Linked DNA regions of Tamandua tetradactyla. The protein of the gene in region 2 purifies or fractionates together with the protein of the main gene of each other region. This does not show direct contact. Links are inferred from orthologs where the notes say so. Each region holds a gene or a part of one and is shown on either strand. Other genes may lie near its edges. The genes, in order: CFLAR and tumor necrosis factor receptor superfamily member 10B-like.

Region 1 (11,795 bases), about 150 Mb from region 2:
GCCTCTTGTCCCCAACAAAAAGAAAACAGAAAAAAGTTCATACATACCATACCCCCCACCCCTCCCCCTCACCGATCACCAGCATTTCACTCTAAATTTATTTTAACATTTGTTCCCCATATTATTCATCTTTATTCCATATGTTTTACTCATCTGTTGATAAGGTAAATAAAAGGAGCATCAGACAAAAGGTTTGCACAATCACACAGTCACATTGTGAAAGTTATATCATTATACAATCATCTTCAAGAAACATGGCTACTGAACACAGCTCTACAGTTTCAGGCACTTCACTCTAGCCTCACTAATATACCTTAAACTAAAAAGGGGATATCTGTATAATGTGTAAGAATAACCTCCAGGATAACCTCTTGACTCTGTTTGAAATCTCTCAGCCACTGACACTTTATTTTGTTCATTTCTCTCTTGCCCCTTTCGGTTGAGAAGGCTTTCTCAATCCCTTGATGCCGTGTCCCAGTTCATTCTAGGATTTCTGTCCCATGTTGCCAGGGAGGTTTACACCCCTGGGAGTCATGTCCCATGTGGAGAGGGGGAGGGCAGTGAGTTTGCTTGCCGTGTTGTCTGAGAAGGAGATAGGTCAAATGTGAGCAACAAAAGAGGCTCTCTGCGGGTGACTCTTAGGTGTAATTCTAAGTAGGCTTAGCCTATCATCTTTGCGGGAATAAGATTCATATGAACAAATCCCAAGATTGAGGGCTCGGCCTATTTCTTTGGTTGTTCCCACTGCTTGAGAGAATATTCCAGGGATTCTCCAAATGGGAGAGTTGAAATTTCCCCCTTTTCTCACCATTCCCCCAAGGGGACTTTGCAAATACTTCTTTAATTCACTGTTCAAATCACTCTGGGATTTATCGGGATATAACACCAGACAGACTTAAAAATTCTCATGCCCTATTCAAAGTTGCATGTATTTATGGTGTTCAACAGTTCTTTTCATACGTTGCTGGACATTTGTTGAGGATTTTTTTTTTTTGTATGCTGTATGGTTGTCAAGGATTTTTCATTCATATTCATAAGATATATTCTTTAGATATATATATCTAAAAAGATATATATGTCTAAAATATATCTAAAAGATATATTCTTTTCCTGTGATGTCTTTGGTTTTGTTATCAGCATAATATTGATCTCATAAAATTAGTTGGAAAATGTTGTCTTCTTTTTTTTGGAAAAGTTTGTGAAAAATTGCCATAAATTTTTCTTTATATGTTTCATAAGATTCAGCAGTGAAGGCATTTAGGCCTGGGCTTTTCTTCGTGGTTAGTTTTCAGATTCTGTTTCACTTTCATAGATCTATTCAGATTGTCTATTTCTTCTTAAGTTAGTTTTGGTTGTTTGTGTCTTTCTAGGAGTTTGTCCATTTCATTGAAGTTATCTTTTGCTGACATACAATTGTTCTTAGTATTTTCTTGTAATTTTAATTTTTGTAAGGTTAGTAGTAATGTAATTTCTTTCATTTCTGATTCTAATGATCTGAGTCTTCTCTCTTTTTGTTTGTTTAGTTTAGCTAACATTTTTTCGATTTTTTTGATCTTTTCAACAATAAACCTAATTTTGGTTTCATCTGTTGTTCTCTATTTTTCTATTTCATTAATTTCCACTCTAATCTTCATTATTTCCTCCCTTCCACTTTTGTTTACTACTCTTTTTCCAGTGTTTTAATGTGGAAGTTTATATTATTGATTTTGGATTTTTCCTCTTTCTTAAAATAGGCATTTACAGCTATAAGTTACTCGCAAGCACTACTTTCCCTGAATCTCATAAGAAAAGTTTTCTCCTACTTTCTCTGTCTCTCCTCTCCTTCTGGTACTCCCATTGCAAATATGTTGGTGTGCCTAATGGTATCTCACATATATCTGAGATTCTTTTCATTTTTCTACATTCTTTTTTTCCTCTCTAGTGTTTGGCTTGCATAGTTTCTGATTTAACTTTAAATTCACTTATTCTTTCTTTTGCCAGTTCACATCTACTGTTGCACTCCTCCAGTGAGTTTTTCATTCAGTTATAGTATTTTTTCACTCCAGAATTTCTATTTGGTTTCTTTTATAATTTTTATCTCTTTATTGATATTCTCCACCTGATGCAACATTGTCATCATACCTTACTTTACATCTTTAATCATGGTTTCTTTTTGTTCTGTGAACATGTTTATAATGGCTACTTAGGAAAGTCTTTTTCTGATGAATCTTACATCTGGTGGCTCTGTTGCCTGCTTTTCTTCCAGTGTATGGGCCATACTTTCCTGTTTTGTTTACATGCCTCATGATTTTTTGTTGGAAACTGGACATTTTAGATAATATGTTTTAGTAACTCTGAGTACTAGTCTTCCACACTTCAGGGCTCGTTATTGTTATTTCTTAGTTTAGTGACAGGTTGGATTATTTTAGTGAAGTCTATTACCTGCTTACTCCATCCCTTTGTACCACACCCCCACCCCCACCCCCACCCCCACCACCAGGTTGTTAAACTTCTGATGTTGCTCCTCAGGGAAGTACAGCTTTGGGTCTATCTATAGTCACCCCGAATGACTGGCAGGGCTCCCATCATCTCTTAGCTTGACCACACATAGCTATTATGCTGCTCTATGTTTTTAACAATGCCCTGGGGCATAAATTGCTCTACAACCAATCCAATCTAATTCTGGCAACTTTGAAGGAACAGTTTTTAAAGTCAATGTTTGATATTTGTTAAGACCCTAGGAGATTTCCTTCCAGTTCACTCATTCCCTGGTTCTCTCCTGCAAATTAGGAGGCTTACTATTTAGCATGTATCTTGAATTTACTTCCAATTGTCTTTCATTGCAATCTCCATGGTTTTTGAGAGTGTCTTCAGGCTTGAACTTCTCCATGCTCTGTTACAAATGAAGTCTGTTCCTTTGGGAGGTGATTAGGAGTTATCTGTCTTTTGACCTGCTTCTCCCCCAGGCACAATATCTGATTCTGGAGCTGGAGGTGGGAACAATGTTAAACTACTCTGGAGTAACACCCCTGGTCTAGAAGCTGAGCACTCAGTCAAGGGAGCTCAGGAGCAGTATCTTGAGGTTCCCTTTGCTTGCCTTTCCTGGCATGGAGCCACCACCTCATGAATGGGGAACATTAAGATCCATAATCTTAGTGCACTGGGCTCAAGGTAGAACCTTTGTTCAACCAGTGGGGACTGAGTGGAAGAAGGAAGTTCCCTCTTTTCAATTGCAACAAATAATTGGGGCAGGATGAGAAATGCTGATGTTTTGCTACTTCCAGGAACTTTCGACCTGGGACTAGGGGAAGTGGGAGCCCTGTGTTCTTGGTTGCAGCAGTCTGGAATTGGGAGTCTCTGTCTCAAAAGCTGAATGGGGCTGGAAGGCATTGGTTTTGGTTCAAATGCAAGAGACTCTCATTTCTTAGTGAATTTAACAGATTTTCTTGAATATGATAACTGAACAAAGGTAGCGGGTTCTTAACCTGATGACCATAACAGCCAAGCCATAGCACTGGAGTTTCAAAAAAAGAGCGTTTAATGTTACGTGTGAAGCAGATCAAATGGCCTGAGGGGCCAAGGATCTGTCTCCTGGAGTCTAGGAAGACTGGGTTTTTTTTTTTTTTTTTTTTTTTTTTTTAAAGGAAGGAAAGACAGAGAAGGAAGGAAGGGAAACATTTTTAAACATTTTCTTGTTTTATTATATTTTGTTTGTTTGTTTGTTTTTTACATGGGCTGGGGCCGGGAATCGAACCGGGGTCCTCCGGCACGGCAGGCAAGCACTCTTGCCCGCTGAGCCACCGCGGCCCGCCCCAAGACTGGGTTTTATGGATTCAAGCAAGAGGAGATGAGAGTTGTTTCCATTATAATATCAAGTGTAAGCAGGGCTGACACCAGGCTAGAATGATCATTGCAATAGTAAGTATACACAAGGCTGAGATCAGGGTAGAATGACCATTATAATGCCAGACATAAGCAAGGGTGAAACTAGCTGAGTTTCAGTAATGTCAGGTATTAACTTCTGCCTATTCTACAATATAGAAAGTTAAACATCTAAATTGATTCAAAAATCATAATTGTTTGTTAATTCTTAATTTCTCAGTTATAATTAGATGTTTCTTCATTTGCTGTTTGCTTTTGGAACCATTTCTAGAGGTTTTACATGCTTTTGTTTGCAATTCTTCTGTAAGTTTAAAATGATTTCAAGAGAAGTTAAGAAAATTTAAAAAATCACAGGAAAGTAATTTTGGGGAACAAATAGGTTAAAACATAGAAAGCTCTTTCACTTTTACTATTATCATTATTTTTTTCACACATTAGTATTAAACAACAACAACAAAAACCCCACCTAGAACTCTTTCAAACAACCATTCCAGGTTCACAGACTATCCAGTCCCAGAAGCTATCAAAAGGAAACAGCAGTTTGGGTCACAGGAGAGTATTTCAACCCCCACACAGTGAATATCAGGTCTTTATTTTTATTGTGGTAAATATACATAACATAAAAATAATTTTAATTGTTTTTAAGTGAACAATTCTGTGATATTACATACTTGATAATGCTGTATAACTTTCACAACTACCTATTTCCAAACAGAAATAGGGTCTGGCTTATTTCACTTGACACAATGCATTTAATGTTCATGCATGTTGTAGTGTGTATCAGTTCATTTTTTTATGGCCGAATAATAATAATAATAATAATAATGATACATGAATACATTTGCTTATGCATCCATGCATTGATGGATAATTGAGTACTTCTATCTTTTGGTATTATATATAATGCTGCTACGAACATCGTCATGTAAATGTCTGTTTGGATCCCTGCTTTCAATTCTTTTTTTTTTGCATGGGCAGGCACTAGGAATTGAACCTGGATCTACAGCACAGCGGGCAAGAATTCTGCCACTGAGCCACTGTCCCACTACCCTTTCAGTTCTTTTTAATTGCTCTCTAGAAGTGGAATTGCCAGGTCATATGCTAGTTCTGTGTTTAACTTTCTGAGGAACCATCAAACAATTTTCCACAGCAGCTGTACCATTTTACCTTCCCAAGAACAATGTATGAGGGTTCTTATTTCTCCACATTCTTGCCAACACTTAGTGTTTTCTTCTTCTTTTTTTCTTTTTAATAATAGTTAACAGGGGGTATAAGGTGTTAACTCATTGCAGTTTTCATTTGGATTTCTCTAATGGCTAGTGATTTGAGCATCTTTTCATATGCTTATTGGTCATTTGTGTATCTTCTTTAGAGAAATGTCTATTCAAATCCTTTGCCCATTTTTAAATTGGGTTGTTTGTCTTTTTTGTTGTTGAGTTATAGGAGTTCTTTATATATTGCAGATATTAAGCCTTTATCAGATATATAACTTTGGATATTTTCTCCCACTTTGTAGGTTGTTTTTTCATTTGTAATATTCCTTGGTGCACAATAGTTTTAATCTTGATGAAGTCCAATTTATCTATTTTTTCTTTTGTGGGCCATGCTTTGGTGTGAAATCTAAGAATCCACTGCTTAATAGAAGGTTCTGGAGATATTTCTTCATGTTTTCTTGTAAGAGTTTCATAATTTTAGTCCTTATATTTAGGTTGTTGATCCATTTTGAATTAATATTTGTATATGGTGGTAGGGGTCCAAATTCATTATTTTGCATATGAATTTCCAATTGTCCCAACACAGTTTGTTGCAAAGACTGTTCTTTCCCTATTGAATGGGCTTAGTGCCCTTGTTGAAAAATCAATTGTCACAGATGTGAGGGTTTATTTCTGAACTCTCAATTCTATTCCATTCATCTATATGTCTATCCTTAGTACTACACTGTTTTTTTATTACACTATTTTTATCGTAAGTTTTGAAATCAGGAAGTGCGAGTCTTCCAACTTTTTTCTTCTTTTTCAAGATTGTTTGGCCTATTTGGGTCCCCTTGCAGTTCCAAATGAATTTGATGATTTGCTTTTACATTTGTGCAAAAAAGGCTGCTGGAATTTTGATAGGGATTATATTGAATTTGTAGATCACTTTAGTACTATTGACGTCTTAATATTGTCTTCCAATCCATGAACACAGGCACGCCTTTTTTCATTTAATTAGGTCTTTTTTTTTTTTTTTTTTTTTAAAGGAAAGACAGAGAGAGAAGGAAGGAAGGATAGAAGGAAGGAAGGAAGGAAGAAAGGGAAACATCTTTAAACACTTTCTTGTTTTATTGTATTTTGTTTCTCCGTTTTTTGTTACATGGGCTGGGGCCGGGAATCGAACCGAGGTCCTCCGGCATAGCAGGCAAGCACTTTGCCCGCTGAGCCACCGCGGCCCGCCCTAATTAGGTCTTTTTTTAAGAAGTGTTTTTAGTTTTCATTATGCAAGACTTTCACATCTTTGGTTAAATTTATTCCTAGGTATGTTATTCATTTAGAAACTATTGTAAACATAATTTTTTCATGATTTCTTTTTCAGGTAGTTTTCTTACTGTTATATAAAAACACCAGTAATTTTTGTGTGTTTATCTTGTACCCTGCAAATTTGCTGTATTCACTTATTAGTTTTATAGCTTCCATGTGGACTCACTGAGATTCTCTATATAGAGGATCATGTCACCTGGGAATAGGGATGGTTTTACTTCTTCCTTTACAATTTGGATGTCTTTTTTTGTTTACCTGATTGCCCTGTTTAGAGCTTTTAGCACAATGATGAGTTAACAGTGGTTACCGCGGGCATCCTTACCCTGTGCCTGATTTTAGGGGGAAAACTTTCAGTCTTTTACCATTGTTTTTTCATAGATGCCCTTTATCATACTGAAAAATCTCCATTACATTCCTAGTTTTCTAAGTGTTTTTTTTTAATGGAAGAATTCCAATTTGAATGCTTTTTCTGCATCAGTTGAGGCCTTTAACTTTTTCAGGGTGCAAGTTGACAGAAATCCAATGCGCAGCTAGGACACGGCTGGAAGGGGTGTGGACAGAGAAGCTCAAAGCATAGTAATCGCCCACGTCTGCTTTTAGGCTTTCGGTTTCTCTGCCTCCATCTTGCTTGCGCTTTTGGCGTCTTGGGGAATAAGTCTGGGAGGAGATCCTCGGCTGTAGGCAAGACGGTATGTACCCCTCGCTGGACTCCGCTACTGCTGCCCGCCAGGTGGCTGGCACAGTCAGCGACCCACACTCCCCAGGCTCCGAGACCCGGCGCTGGGTTTCCTTCTCAGCGTCTCAGCCGTACCCTCTCACCCTACTCCTATCCCTTCGCCGCTTCTCCCCAACTTGATCTTCCCAGCCTTGGCTCTGGGCCTGGGGTGCCCAATCCTGGCCACAGAAGGGGTGGGCCTTTGGGGTAGGTGACTGTGTCCTCTGGGTTCCTCCCCGGGTTTGCCCCGCCAGCGAGACGGAGCGCCCCCGCCCCCGCTCTCACTGTTGACCCCGCTCTTCCCCAACCCAGGTTTCCAAGAAGGCAGCCCAAGGCTTGCCAGCGTTCTCATCCCGCCTGGGCGCGTCGGGACAGACCGGACCTACCAGGAAGTAGCTCTTGACTAACACTGGCCACCCCCTGAAGCCCCAGAGGCGGCAAACAGGCCGGGGATCTTCTCTAGTCCCCAACTTTGCTTAAAATCAGCCTGAGAGTTGTTGCCTTTCTGGGACGAACTGTTGAAAAAGATTTCGCAGTTTTCCTTTCGTAAAGTTGATTTAAACGTTAGGACTCTTTATGCAGTTGTATGTGCATAAACTTTACCCAGCAGGAGCATCCGGTCTTGCAGGAGTTTTTTCTCTTTTTTAAGAACTTGGTGAAGTAGGTCAGAGCTGTTATCTTCTCAAAGCAGCTGCAGAATTGAATGTTTTGGCAGATTGCAAGGAAAGCTTGCCTTCGGAAAGTTGGGAATGCTTGACTGACGAGATCTTTTAAAGCCCCCAAATAACTCCTCCACTCCCCACCCTACCCCCCCACTCGCCTCCCCGCAGAGGCTTGGGGAAATGTAAATTAATTTCAAGATTTTTTTCGCTCAATGCCTGGACTTGCTCTGAACGGCATGTTCCTTTAAATATTAACATAGCACTGCAATGGAACAAAGGTCCTTACGTATGAATAAGTTGGTTGTTCAAAGCAGGAAGTAGTTCAAGGACGCTAAAGCCTACCAGAATGCTTTTATTGACATTTGAAATTTTTTCTTACGCAAAGAGGGGTGGTTCCAGCTTGCTACCTGTAGTAGGCGAGTTAAGTGAAAAGAATTTTGGATACTAGAGTTAAGTGACAAGAATTTTGGATACTGACAGTCTTACTAAAAGTAAGGCTGGGCTTGAGCCGCCCAGTTAGACATTTAGATAAGAGATTTCAGATAAACAGGAATTGAATTTTTGGTATTTCCCCCCCCCTGGTGGTTCCCTGAAATCTTTTCCTTCGGAGGAAGTAAAAACATGGCTCAGTTACAAAATTAAAGCAACAACAACCAAACAATAGAAGAGGCAGGGTTGGAAAGGAATCTTGAGTTTGTTCTCATACCGAAAACTTCCTTGTTTTAATGTCGTCAGATTTAACACTTGTTTTACTTGTAGATTCTGGCTGGGGTGTCCTGATTAAAATGGCTTTTTCTAACAACATTATGCTTTATATTTCTGTTTGTAACTGACATTTGCAATTCCTTTAACACAGCGTTAACGTCCTTAAACCCTCTCCCGAGCTCAGTTCACCAGCCGAGCCTCAGGGTCTGGATGTCCCTCTGCCCCCAAGAATCTTCTGCGACGGGGGTTCGCAGGCAGTTTTTTTTTTGAGCTGGAGCCCCTGGGACCTCTTGGAAGCTAAGCCAGAGTAGGTCTCCTGGGCGTCCCCCGCCCCTCCGCTGCCCCCTGGGGCTGGTGAGGTGCTGCCGCGACCGGGGGCGGTTAGTAACTCCCCCAGCGCCGCGTGGGCGGTTTCCCCAGCGTAATGGCCGTTTTACCACAGAAAAACACGCACGGGGCCTTGCGAAAGCTTCTAAGTTGCAGGGACAGGGCACTCCCCGGATTCAATTTTTCTAGTCGTCATCTGTCGTGGAGGAGGCGCATAGTGGATGTGCCAGACAGAGGTCGGGGACGCTGGCCTGGCGGTCACCCCTGGAACGCCTGGGACGCTTTCCTCCAGGTCCTCGTCCCATTGGGAGCGGCCACAATCCGGAGAGGCAGATCTAGAGTGTCCGACGAGATCTATTTCCCGGCCGAGATACCGTGGGAAGAGCCGGTGGCTGCGCCGGCGTGAATAGGTGGGAGAACCTTGCCCTCCCCTTTTTCTTTTGACTCCAGTCCCTCTGCGGATCAGCCCCTGAACTCCGGGGACGTCGGGGAACTGTCAGTCCCGTGCGCAAAAGAATTGAGTTTATGCTTACAGCCCTTCGAACCACCCCTGAGCCTTCTGGGCCCTCTCCCAGCACCCTGAGTCTACAGACGTGCCAGTCTTTTAAATGCCAGGAATGGACTCCATTTGGAGACAGCCTCGCCCTTGAAGTCTGATTATTTCTTCCTTGTAGAGTCCCAAGGACTAATTAAACTTGTGTTGATGGACTTTAACGCTTCCCTGCCTTTAATTCACTATAACCCTATGAATATTTTTTTGAGCTTTTTGAGGCCTGGCTGAGTTCTGGGTGCTGGGGACATTAAAAATGGATCTGAACTTGGTTCCTACCTCCAGAAACTGACAAGTTCTGTTGGAGGTAATAGAGTAAAGGTAATCTGTAATCAGGGCCAGGGCTTGCTAAACCTGGCAGAGGAGGAAGACATTTTCATCTGGGTAGGGGAGTAATGACAGGTCACAGAAGGCAGGTGTGTTCACATGCAGTTTTGTTTTACTTATAGATCAGTGAGATGAGTAAAACTACTATTATTGTAATATGCCCTATATCTCTTTTAAATTCAACTCCTGTCACCTCCTCTAGGAAGGCTTCACATACTCAGTGGCTCTTTCTACTTAACTACAGCATTCCATTTACCACTCTGTATTATATTTTTTCTTCAAAAAGCTTTTTTTCAGTCAATCTGTAATATAATTATCTGGTTTAAAATACATGGAAAGTAAGTAGAGGAAGCTCTCAGGAGTCCATTCCCTACAGATAACCAGAGGTTGCAATTTAATGTCTTTTACAGACATTTGTGCGCTCAAATTCAGTGCTTTAAAAAATATATGCATATGTTATTATTATTGTTAATTTTTTCCTCTTGTTTCTTGTGTTGCTGTTTCTCCAAACTGTGTTTCAGAACTGATGTTTTTTCTATTAATACTGCTGTTTTTCCCACATGTAACTCAATTCCCTGTGCTGTCAGTGTTCTAATGGAAGATTGGTTTTTCTAATGACTGTTTTTTGTTTTTTAGAATGCATATATCCTCAATTTACATTTAATTCATCAGCTTGTTCAGACATCCTGAGTTGATTATTTTTCCTCCCTAAACTGCTGTAGATTTAGAGAAAGAATTTCTTCTTTGATGCCATGCATATATGAGTTTATATACTTGTATGTATGTATGTATGTATGTGTGCGTATATATATATGATATATATGTATCACCTTGAATATATTCTTTCTAGATAAAATTTCTTCCTTTTCTACTTCTAGCCACTTTATTTGGACATTTAAATTTTTAGTCAAAACAGACCAACAGCTTCTTTGATAGTTTAGATATTAGTTTCTTATCTTTGGTAATTCAGTACTTATTATGAAAGAACTTACCATGAAAGAACTTACCATGAAAGAACAAAGCTCCCTTAATTTGATATCATATTTATCTGCATATCCAAGATAGTTTCTGTGTTCTATGGTGAACTCTTCAATTGGAGAAATGAATCTATCATTTATATCTAGGTACCTATATATTTTCATATTATACCTATATTATATATATATAATATATACCTATTATATTTGTATCTGTATCCGTATACCTCAGTTTTAATTGAAAAATCCTCTTGTAGCAACTTGCTCCAAGGTATACAATGTTTTTCAGACTCATGGCTTACTTCTCTTTTCTGATATTACAAATGAGAACCAAAGACTTTTCCACTTTTGAAAATCTTGAGTCTTTTTTTGAACCTCTTTTTGGTCTTTTGGGTTTTTTTTTTTCCATTTTACTTGAAGCTTACAAAATAGTTTTGATAAATCTATCACTTGAATACTATCCTGTGAGTGAACCAAATACCCTGCAACAATCAGCAAACACCCTTTTCAGTGTAATCAAAATTCAGTCGCCCATTCAGCATTTACTAAGTACCTCCTAGTGCTAGGGAATGGGGGCACATAGAAGATCTTCTCCTGCTGTCTGGAGCTCCAGCTCTAGTTGGGAATGGCGGAAAAGCAACAATAGATAGGCTCAAAAACTTACCCATGGTGTGCTATTGGGATCCCAGAGCTCGATTTCAATACTTGACTTGGATTCTATTCTAACCCATAGCTGGGTTGTTTTGATCTGGCAGCCAATTAGAAGGCTGTTCTTTCAGTGTCATGGTAGACCTGTTAGTAAAATGTTGTGGTGGCACAGGGATGTATTGTATAAAACTGCACCATAGAGAATGTAAATCAGTTTTTCTGCTTAACCTTTGTCAAAACATTATTCATGCTAAATGTGGAACAAGTCTGCCCTTATAGCCTGAGTGGTCACCAGGAATATCAAGGAAACTTGGAGGAGGAGCCAGGTAGGATATAAGAAGATGGGAACAAGTACACAGGTGCCAGAAATGATGATGAATGATGATGGTGCTGAAGCAAATGGAATTTTTCTTTTCTTTTTTTTTTTGATCATATGATGAAATTCTATTTATTTGAGTTTAATATTTTTAAAAGGCTTCCTAACTTATTTTATGCTTTAATATGGGA
Region 2 (11,678 bases):
CACTAGGAAAGAATGAACATTCTGCAGATGCTGCATGTATGCACTACACTTTTAATTAAGGTGGTTGATAGTGTTTAGATCTTTTATGACTTACTAACTGTTTGGTCTAGTTGTTCTATTAATTGCTGAGAAGGAGGTATTAAAAATTCACATGAATTGTGTTAATTTCTATTTTGTGCATATTGCAGCTCTTTTATTAGACACACACATTTATGATTATCATGTCTTCCTGATGAATCGAACCTTTTAACACTACAAAAAGTCTTTCATTTCCTCCCTGGTAACACTCTTTGTCAATGTCACCTGATATTAAGGTAATAGCATATTAGTAGTGTTTAGCTGATTTATTGCCTTTGTAATTATTAATTTGGTTGAAATAGGTCAACAACTTTACCATTTATTTTCTGTTTGTCCTGCTTATTTTATTTCCTGTTTCTCCTTTCCTTCTTATTTATTGTTAATTGAACATCAGCGTTGGTCCAGACCTCTGAGAGCACGAGTCATTCCTGCATGGAAACATCTCCGGCCCCTGGTGAGCACTGCCCACGTCTCGTGGAGAACCAGGGATGAAACACTGCCCTTCCTTGTCTCTAGGACACTTCTGGTTGATGGGGAAGCTGAGGTATAGACAACCCCTCAGGTTGACCCTGGACGGCCTGTCCTGGTGGCAGGGACACTGGTGGACATAGAAGGAAAATTCCACACAGACGAAACCATGGCCAGATGAAGTAAAAGGGGGGAGGGGGGTAAGAAAAAGGAAGGGACGAAGAGCTGGAGTTTGTGGTTGTCTCTGATGGAGCCCGAGTTGAGTCATGTGTGTGTGTGTGCACGTGTGTGTGTGTGTGTGTGTGTGTGTGTGTGCACACACGCGCGCAGGGGCAGGGAGGGTGCGGGGAGGAAAGGAAAGGGAAAGGGAAAGAGAAAGAGAGAGCAGCGAACAGCACGACAAAGTGAAGAACGGGGAGGGAGGTTACACTTCTTGGCCTACGTAAAGCCTCCTGATCCGGGCCCTCCAACCAGAGGTGGGGCAATAACTGAGGGGAATTCCTGTACTTGCTCCTCCCCCACAAATGATGCAAGAGTTGGACAGTGTCTGACCCATGTACTTGCTACTTATTTCCTGAAAGGCAATGCAACTGAGTAGTAGTCCTGTGCCCTCTTCAGGCCAAGCACAACCTGAAAGCTGCCCCATTTATCTTTCTTTTTTTTTTTTTTTTGGCATGGGCAGGCTCCAGGAATCGAACCCAGGTCTCTTGCATGGAAGAGGAGAGCATTCTACCACTGAGCCACCCGTGCACACCCTGCCCCATTAATCTTTAACTGAGTAGACTAAAAGACAATGACATCACTGTCAGTCTTGCTCTCAAGGTCTTCTTTTCTGTGGCCCCGAGATCTTCTTCAGAGGATTCTGCTTATTAGTTTGTTTATGAAAGAGTAGTAAAAAAAAGAACACTGGATTAAAAATCAAGCCATCTGACCTCAATTTGGGTCAGCCACTGAACAGTTAAATGATCTGGGGTCAATCACTTCCTTTCCTCCTAAATTCTTGTTTATTTTTCTTGAAATAAGGGGGCTTATTTCAAGCCCTTCACACAAAAGCATTTATTTAAGGATTAAATAAATCCCTTGGGGTGCGCCCAGCAGTCAGTCTGTACTGGCTGAGTGCAAGCCTCTCCTGGCGCTGCCTGCAGCCCTGCTCACCACCCCTGCCCAGCCCTCCACCAAACAGCTAAGTGCCCTTCAGCAACTTCCTGAATTTTCTCTTACTCATCGGAAAACAAGGGTCATAACAGTCCTTACAGTCAGGTTGTTTTAAGAATCAAATCAGATAACACGTATGTAAGTGTTATAACCAGAGCTTCCCATACACAGTGAAGTGCTACAGCTAAGCACGTGCTGTCATTAGTACAATAACCACCCATAACGCAGACTGTAATCTCCCAGGAAAAATCTGGACCACATTCTCCAGGGCAGCAATACCACAAACCACATGGCCTTACTCCAGTCAGAGTCAAAACATGGAGGAATGACAGCTCCGGCCACCGTTGCAACCCCTCGGGGTCTCCCGCCTCCCTCATGCTACCTGATTTTAGATATTTTGGTCCCTGGTCTCAACTTCTCAACCAGATCATATGCTCCAGGGAGCAGGATTCACAGAGGGTTCAATTTTTCCCTCCTCCAAGGTGCAGTCTTGACTTTCCAGTGCGAAGTGCCTATTAATTACATCATGAGTGAATGAGGAGGTGAGCCTACTGATGGCCAGGCTCAGTGCCTAAAGAGTTCACAAGCTGCAGCACAGGAGGGGACCACAAGAGTGAAGGTACCCTCCAGTCTTTGGCTGAGGGCTGATCTGTGCCTATGGGCGCAAACTACCCTTGGGGGAGAAGAGAAGCATCCAAAATCAGGAGGCCGGACAGTTAGCAAAGCTCACCGGGCTGTGGATTTGTCATGTTCCATCTGACTGAGCAGAAAGACCTAACACAGAGGATACTAGGTAGAGTTTTAAGAAATTAACTAATACAATCTTTCAGTCACAAAATAGGCAATGTAGACAAGACAAAGTTTAAGAGCTATCCTTGGAAGGATCAAATCGACACTCAACTTTCTTAATCACCAAAATAATATCCAGCACCTTAAAGGAGCACAACAAAATCTAATGTCCAAGAATGTAAAATTCACATTTAATAAAAAAATTACCAGGCACGGAAAGGAGGAAAATATCCCCCAATGGCAAAAAAAATTTTTTTAAGAAAAGTAAAAATCAATCAATAGATCCAGTCCAGACTATGACAGTCGGGGATGATGGAACTGATGGTCTTAAACAGTCTTTATTAATCTTATCAATATGCTAAAGATGTGAAGGTAAACAAGAACATGACAAGAATAGAGATGGAAGATACTGAAAAGCCCCAAATGGAACTTCTTAGAGATTAAAAGTACACAGTATATGAAATGAAAAATAAAATGGATGGGATTAACAGCCAATCAGACACCACATAACACCAATGAACGTGAAGACAGAGCAACAGGGATTATTCAAAATGAAACCCAGAGAGAAAACAACTGAGAAAAAAATGAACAGATCTTTCAGTGAGCTCTGAGACAACATGCAGCATTTTAACCTAAGTGTAATTAAGACCCAGGAAGGCTAGAGGGGGCACACACATATCTGAGGAACTAATAGCCAAAAAATTTCCAACGCGGGAATAAACTCTAAATCTATAGGTCCAAGAAATTCATCAAACCCCAAGCAAAAGGAATCATACAGCATTAAATAAACGGATTTTTTTTTTACCCAAGTCAACCCTGACAGTGTGATTTGCCCTCCCACACAAGCTCACACATCCGCCACAGTGGCTCCCAGATCTCAACGTTGAACACATGAAGAAGCTATGGCTGCACCAGGGTCACAAAGTTGGAAAGGGGCAAAGTAGGGCCCAACTGGCTCCAGCCGCCAAGGTCAAGATCTTTTACAGCCTGTCGGAACTTCTAAAGTCAAGAAGTAAGCTCAGTGCTAGGCCTCATCTGATACAATCGTTTTTACAGCCCAAGGACTGTTATCTTCATGTTACAGGCGTGGCTGGGTGGCAGTCAAGCCTCAGCTGACAAAGTTTTCAAGTGCAGAGCTGAGATTCCAATCCTCTGTCACCCTCCCCTGCTAACAGTGTGATGTCTCCTAGCTGATTTGCTTCCAGTCTCAAAACACATATAGGTCCTTGAAAATCTCTAGTAGGATGGAAGAAACAAAAACACAACACTGGGATGCACCATTTTTTACCTCTCAGACTAGTAGAGAATGAAAATTCACTTGTATACACTTGATGACAGTGTACTGGAGAACAATTTGGCAACATCTAAACAAACTTCGAAGATAATTTAACCCGCATACTGAGCAATTATACTTCTAAAGACTTAAACCATTGACAGGAACACGTCAGTACATACAAGGATATCTGCAGTAATGCTGCTGGAATTTGCAAAAATGAAAAGAAAAAAAAGGATATCATCTAAACAGCTATCCATAGGAGAGAACGGTAAAATAAACTGTGCTTCACCCATACTTGCTTACACATGCAATAAAATACTATGCTTTAAAAAAAAAATAAAAAGAGGAAAAGAAATCTGAAGGTATGACATAGAAGAGCAGATGTAATTTTTTCTTGCTTCAGAATTAAGAAAAAATATATAATTGTGCCCGTAAATGCACAGAGAAAGGCAAAACTTATGGGTTGCTGGAGGGGGCTTTGGAATGCCAGAAGGCCTAGGTCTCACATTCCCAAATTCATCAAATTCAGATTTTTTATCTTTGCCACACAGGTTATCCTTCCAATCCAATCTGGAGACAAAATAGACTAAAACTATTCACAAGCTACAGGAAATCTGGGTCTTACCTAATCTAAACTGATAGCTTGAAAACAAAGTCTGTGGTTACATGTGAATACAGAAATGCTATTATTTTTCTAAATTGTTTTTATTTGCTAAATGAAAAAACAATTTCATGATTCTTGTAACCTTGTTTTGGCAATTATTTATTATTATTTTTTAAACTCGATCAATTTCAAATATGTAATTGGCCAGACCTTGGCCAAGTTAACCTAAAAAGATACTCGAAGTTTACACAATTCTTCCCCACGAGTTTCTCAGAACGCTCAGCACTGCATGGCTCAGTCAGATCAACAGCGTCACACCCTGGCTTCCAGAACATGCGATCGCTGGTCGCTTCAAAAGAGTCCCGCACAAGTTTATATCAAGAAATGATTGGAAGAAAGTCGGGCAACTGTTCAACTTCTGAGCGGCCATCTCAGGAAAAAAGAAAGGTGCGGAAGTCGGCGACGAGAAAGTTACTTTCGCTGGCATTAATTTCACCCATTTTGCAACGAGAGTACTCTTTAGAATTTAAAACATTTATCGAAAAAAGAAAGAAAGAAAGAAAAGAGAATCCTTCTGTCGCTCACTTGCAGGGCACCAGACCCCTTCTCGGTTGGCTCAGGACATGACAAACTTCATTGCTCTCGCCCGGTGGGTTTTGAAATCCGCCACTACAGTCGCTCAGCCCGGCGGCTCGGACCCAGTCCCGCCCTCCACTGCGCCGAAGGCCTCGCCCTGCCCGGGCATGCCCCGCCCGGGGCAGCGGGGCGAGACTCCCGCGGGCCGCCGTGCCACCACCGCCCCATTCCCCCACCCCGTGCCCGCCTTCCCGCTCTGGCGGCTAACTCACCGGGAAGACGGCCAGGAAGAGAAGGCTCAGGAGGCCCCAAGGCGAGGAGTCCCGGAGCCGAAGCCTGGCTCCCGATCCGACCCAGGTCCCGACTCGGGCCCCGGAGGCTTGGCGGGCGCTCTGGCCTCGCGGTGCCATGGCCTTCCGCGGCGCCCCTGGTCGCCGGCGGGTCGCGCGCGGGGTTTAAACTCCGGCGATGTCAATCCGTGTACTTCTCTCAGAGAAGAGCGGTAAGCCGTCTGTCCCAGATCGCGGCGGAGTCTATCTGCGGGAATCCCGCCGGATGCAGCGCTTTTTATAGATTGCGCAACGCCAGCGGGGTGACGAGTCAGGTCGCAATTCCAATCAACAGTTTGCCTTGCGGGCCAATCATGCTGGCACCCTCTCTGCGAGCGCTTCCGGGGGAGAAATATGTGGGGATTAAAGCCTAGCCCCGGGGGTGGGGCATCGGTGGAGGGATTCTCCCGCAGAATCTCCCCACCGCGCCGCGGGTGGGGAGGAGCATTCGGCAACTCGCAGGCACCGTAGTCTCGGCGCTGAACCCGAAGGCGCTCAGGCAGGTCCGGATCCAGCCGCATCTGGCTTTCCCGCGCGTAAACCCTGGAATACTGACCTCCCTCCCTCTGCCTCCCGTCCGTGGCCCCCTCACCTCTGTCCCTCCCCTCCATCCGCGGCCGGGCTTCACTGGATCTTGGTTTCACTGAATCCGGAGTCGCTCACCAAGTTGCTCTGTCCTACCGCGGGGTTTCCCGGAGGGGCCTCGACCTCAGCATTTCAACAGCCGGGTGCCAGGCTCCGAGCAAATGCTCCACGAACAGATGTGTGGACGAAACCGAGAACACACGGGATATGACCTGCAGGATCGGACCAAGATTTCTTTGTCTTGACCAACCTGTAGGACTTGGAGCTGTAGGGCTGCACAGTAAAACTAACAGTATTGCAGAAAAGAAAACAGACAACTTCAGATACTAATTTTACCAAGTTATCAAGCGTATTCCCCTTCCCTCTCACACCACATAGCCCACTGATATTTTTCCATTGTCCTTCCCTCGACCATAAAACTGATCACCACCACTCTGTCTTCCTGGGAGCTGAGTTCTATTCTCTCCCCCCTTCCATGGTAGCTATAAAGTCATCTTTGTCTGTTTAAAATTCTGTGGTGCAATTTTCCTTCGAAGGGTTTGGACTGGGTTCACAGAGGCTTCCACACCCTCTCCCCATCACCACTTTCTGCTTTCTAATAAGACCATGTCAGTCTTCTTTCTTTTGCCCTCAAGGTTTTATGCCAATTAAAATGCCATCCCTACCCTACTGCCTCAGCAGCCCCAGGAACCCAAGCCGGCCTTCTTCGGGATTTTCCTTCCCTGTTGGATTCTTTAAAATCTCCGAGAAGCTGAACCTCTGGGGACTATTCCTCACCTGAAACCGAAGGACTTAGAGAGGGATCCTTGGTCTTGAGGTCCTTCCAGCCGTCCCCGCGTACCCACCTCGGTAGCTAACCTGGGACGCGGTGGAGTCCTGTAAACTCAATGCCTCTTAAATCGAGGTCCTGCCTGCCGGGTGCTCACAGAGCGGTTTAAGGCTGGAGATTAGGTGGGAGGGGAAGGCAATCCCAAGGGCGCCTGCAGCTCCAGGCTTCGTCGCAGTTTTACGGGTCGGGGGCCCACGGACTCTACTTGGCTGGCTCTACTAGGCCAGCGCAGCGGAGAGGGCTTCGCCCGCCAACCCCCAGTCCTGGGTCTGACTCACCGACTGTCTGACCGCGCACAACGCCACACGCCTCGCCTCTCAGGTTTCAGCACAGGGGTGGCGTGAGGATGCGCCCCGCTGTGGAGCAGGGAGGGGCGCTGAGCGCTGGGAACCACTCCATCTGTAGGACACCGCTTTTTAGATCTTTGTACTTAATAACACACACACACACACACAAACATACAATTTCCGGGCTCCCCAAAATGTGGTTCAACGAAAAATTCGACGTGAAACACTACGGAAAAGAAGAAGAGTTTTTCAGCTCAACGAAATACGGGGCCAGAATTGTCTCGAGTCTCCGCCAGGACCAATGGACCCCGGGCGCGCCCCCGGCTCCCGGGAGGGGCGCGGCCGGCAAGAAGGCGCTGCGCGGGCCGGGGTTAGAGGGCAGCTCGGGCAGACGACGACGCGGTGGCGGAGGAACACTTTCCTGGTGATTAAGTGGACCCGCGGGAGGGGAATTAGTATCACCCTAGCACGCTTGACCCTCGAGGGCGGAGTTAGGGATGCTCTGCGGGGCGCCTCCACCTGCGCCAGGTAGAGTCGGTGCCCAGCGAGTAGCACGCGCAGTGCATTGTCCGGGGACCCTGCCCTGGGCTATGCGCTGCGGTCCGGAGGAGCTCGCGTGCCCGCCACGGTGAAGAAGACGCACCGTCCGCAACCCCGACGTCTTTCTCGGAGCCCGGGCTCTGGGCTAGAGACTTCGCGCGCATCTTTACAGTCTCCTGGTGACGAACGGGCGCGTGTCAATTTTAAACATAATCAAATTTACCTAGAACTATGAAATTTGGGGGTCCTCATGATTCCCTTATCCGTGCTCCCGAGATAACCTGTTAAACTCTTTCGGGATGTTCCCTCAGAATTCCCTGTATGCATGCAATATGTTTCAGAAAAGAATAGATTTGCACTCTTTGACCTTCTGAACATTGGAGCTTTTTACACTTAAGTTATACCTTGATTATCTTTCCTTTTACGTCCTTGGAAATGGATTCCCCGCTTCTTTTTCTTTCTTTCTTTTCTTTTTTTCCAAATTTTTTTAAATGACAAACCAAAACAACGTACAAACATTCTATACATGGTGTACAATCAATGACTCACAATAGCATCACATAGTTGTATATTCATCACCAGGATCATTTTTTAGAATATTTGCATCACTCTAGAAAAAGAAAAAAGAAAAAAAAAAAAACCTCATACATCACTCCTCCTACTCACTGACCACTAGTATTTCCACCTACCCAATTTATTTTAACCTTTGTTCCCTCTATTTTTTCCTATACTCCTTACCACTCCCTTTCATTGATCACTAGTATTTCAATCTACTCAATTTATTTTAACATTTCCCCCCATTATTCATTTATTTTTAAGACATATTCTTTACTCATCTGGCCATACCATAGATAAAAGGACCATCAGACACAAGGTTTTCACAATCACACAGTCACTTGTGAAAGCTATATCTTGATACCATCATCTTCAAGAAACATGGCCACTGGAACAGAGTTCTACAGTAAACTAAAAAGGGGATAGCTATATAATGCATAAGAATAACCTGCAGGATAACCTCTCAACTCTGTTTGAGACCTCTCAGCCACTGACAAACTTGTCTCATTTCTCTCTTCCCCCTTTCGGTTGAGAAGGTTTTCTCAATTCCTTGATGCTGAGTCCCAGCTCATTCTAGGATTTCTGTCACACGTTGCCAGGGAGGTCCACACCCCTGGATCCCCCTCTTTTTTAACACTTGCACAGAATTTCCTCGGAGCTGGGGGTGAGCTGAGAATTACTGAGAGGCTGGTGTGAAGACTGTATGAGGGGAATTTGGTGGAGAGCTGGTCATTTGGTCGGGGGACTAAAGTTCTCCAATTCCTGGCTCTGTTCCTGCAGGCAGAATGCCTCACGGACCCTTTTCCTGTCCCTGAAAAGTGCCCAGGATGGCCTGCTGCCTGGGAAGGGGCAGGTAAGGATGGACTGGCAGCAGAGTGGCGAGAGGGGCTTCCAGCCCATTGTTCAGCCAGGAGAGATGGCATTCCTAGACTGTTTCACAATCTCAGAATAGATGTAATTTTACAATTCTCTTATGATTCCAGGTACTTCTCCTATCCTGAAGATTATCTTTCCCAACTCAGAATTGTGCAGAAGCCAATACAGGAAGTAGAGAATCTGAATTGAAAACCACACTACCCTAAAGAAACCTTGAATTGCAGAAAAAAAAAGAAATGGTTCAATTTTAGTTTACAAAATGTAAATACTTAGAGAGTAAGATAGGCAGGTTGTCACTTTTTGCCCAGGCATTTAAAAATAAGTATTTGTTAATTAATGACCAACTTACCATGACTTAAAAAGATGATTTTATGAGCAATGAATCATGTTTTCTATCGGGAAGTCTACAGTTTTAGGACTTTAATTACCAGTACATATGAATGGTCTGATAAATTTACTTTTTTTTCCCCTGCAATTTATAAAATTAAGGTTCTCTCTGATAGAATGTTTGAAGTATGGTAAACAGACATCTCTTTCTTCTGTCCTCCCTCCCCTGTTTCCAGGTTCAAAGACATATGTCTAAGTCACCTTTGATTATTCCATATCCATTGTCAGAGCAATGCAGGTGCCAAATACTGTCCATCCCACACCACAGAGCTTCTTTTATTTCCCTTTACCTTTCATTTCATCTGCCAGTATCTGGGCGAGGCCTCCAATATCTGTGGCTGCTGCCACCATTTGCATATTGTTGTCCCTGGTCCCTCCACTCCACTGAACAGTACTCTGGGACACAATCAGCTCCAGGAGAAGGAACTTGCTGTATGACACTCACAGAAAAATGAGAGTTCTGCCATTGGGTGAGTCCATGAGGCTGGGCTTTGAATCTGTCGTGGTTTGAAGCTGTATGTACCCCAGAAAAACATGTTCTTTATTCTAGTCCATTCCTAGTTTATAAACCCATTATAAGTAGGATCTTCTGATGAGGCTGCTTCAGTTAAGATGTGACCCACATTATACAGGATGAGACTCAATCCTCCTACTGGACTCCTTTATAAATAGGTTGAATACAGAGAGACAGAGAAAACCACGGAAGCAAGAAGCTGAAATCAACAAAACTCGGAAGAGAAGGGGAATCAGCAGACGCTGCTGTGTGCCTTGCCATGTGGCAAAGGAGGTAAGAATTGCTGGCAGCCAGTCATCCGGAAGGAAGCACCGCCTTGCTGATGCCTTGATTTGGACATTTTCTTGGCCTCAGAACTGAAGGCCAATAAATTTCCATTGTTCAAGTCAAGTCATTTCATAGTATTTTCTTTAAGCAGTCTAGGAAACTTATCCTATAAGCTGTATCAGAAAAAAAAAAGCTGTATCAGAATGTTAGTGATGCTCTTATTAACATATTTTGTGTTTGAAGATACAAAATTTTTAGATAGAAGAAACTTTACATACCTTTCTCCATTCACACAAACATACAGTCCATAGATCAACCTAGAATAATAAGACCTGTGGGTCGTAGGGCAGTGAGCCTCGTCAGTGGCACTGAAACTCACCAAAAGGGTTAGCCTAGGGCCCTGTGTGCTGGGCACCCAGACATGGGGTCAGCCTTACAGGCCATCTCTCTGTGCCCAACCATGTGCCAGAGCCGAGGACAACCTCCTGCTCTCGGGAGGCTGCCAGGAGCAACAGACTGAAAACTAAGAGTTAAATAGGTTGCATTGAGAGTAGTGCTATGTGGAAGGATGATGTCTGGGTTTTATCTATTGCGGAACAACCTCTCCTCCCCGCTTTCCATCTTTCCCCCTCCACCAGTCCTCTTGGATAGAGCACCTATTCATCCTTGACTTTTAACCTCCTGCTCTCGGGAGGCTGCCAGGAGCAACAGACTGAAAACTAAGAGTTAAATAGGTTGCATTGAGAGTAGTGCTATGTGGAAGGATGATGTCTGGGTTTTATCTATTGCGGAACAACCTCTCCTCCCCGCTTTCCATCTTTCCCCCTCCACCAGTCCTCTTGGATAGAGCACCTATTCATCCTTGACTTTTAACCTCCTGCTCTCGGGAGGCTGCCAGGAGCAACAGACTGAAAACTAAGAGTTAAATAGGTTGCATTGAGAGTAGTGCTATGTGGAAGGATGATGTCTGGGTTTTATCTATTGCGGCACAACCTCTCCTCCCCACTTTCCATCTTTCCCCCTCCACCAGTCCTCTTGGATAGAGCACCTATTCATCCTTGACTTTTAAGTCCCTCACCACGTTTTTCCAAGTATCTATTTTGCTCTTAGCTAGAAAAAGAGAATAAACAAATAAAGGAGGCTCATTGCCCAGTTTCCTTTCTGGACATTGAGGCTGTATGAACAATACACTTACTGTTTTTTTTTTCAAAGTCTCTGAATAAGTATGGTTTCCTGCTTACAAATTCATGTCCAGAACATAAGAAAATGCTTTTCTGTTGGCTCCATTTAATAAGTGAAAACATCGTCAGGTGCTTTGAGCTCAAGACTAACTTACTGAAACTCCGTGCCTGTGTCCTACAAAGGCCTTTAGCACCCAGGTTCTGCAAGGCCCCACCTTGCTCCCCAACAAAGCCTGCAGACCCCAGTGGGAGATCTGGACCAGGTTCCGTTTCTTGGTTTAGATGATGTAAGGTGGAAGCATTTGCAATTCTTGTATAACAGCCAAAAGTGAAGACTGGAAATTGTTTTTTCTTTTTTGGAATAAAGCAAAGCAGTCTCAGG

The links.
Region 1: the proteins of tumor necrosis factor receptor superfamily member 10B-like (region 2) and CFLAR purify together in Homo sapiens (affinity purification with western blotting, with the first as the bait; 5 studies listed by BioGRID). This does not show direct contact. The link is inferred for Tamandua tetradactyla from reciprocal best matches to the Homo sapiens genes TNFRSF10B and CFLAR.

What each region holds. Positions count from the first base shown.
Region 1 is NC_135329.1:175,639,401-175,651,195, forward strand, and holds the start of CFLAR (CASP8 and FADD-like apoptosis regulator), read left to right. Parts: upstream 1-6,934; 5' UTR 6,935-7,066; intron 7,067-7,404; exon of another isoform or gene 7,405-9,078; 5' UTR 9,079-9,196; intron 9,197-11,795. UniProt on the Homo sapiens protein: Apoptosis regulator protein which may function as a crucial link between cell survival and cell death pathways in mammalian cells. Acts as an inhibitor of TNFRSF6 mediated apoptosis.
Region 2 is NC_135329.1:23,965,377-23,977,054, forward strand, and holds the start of tumor necrosis factor receptor superfamily member 10B-like, read right to left. Parts: upstream 5,790-11,678; 5' UTR 5,357-5,789; coding exon 5,219-5,356; intron 1-5,218. UniProt on the Homo sapiens protein: Receptor for the cytotoxic ligand TNFSF10/TRAIL. The adapter molecule FADD recruits caspase-8 to the activated receptor.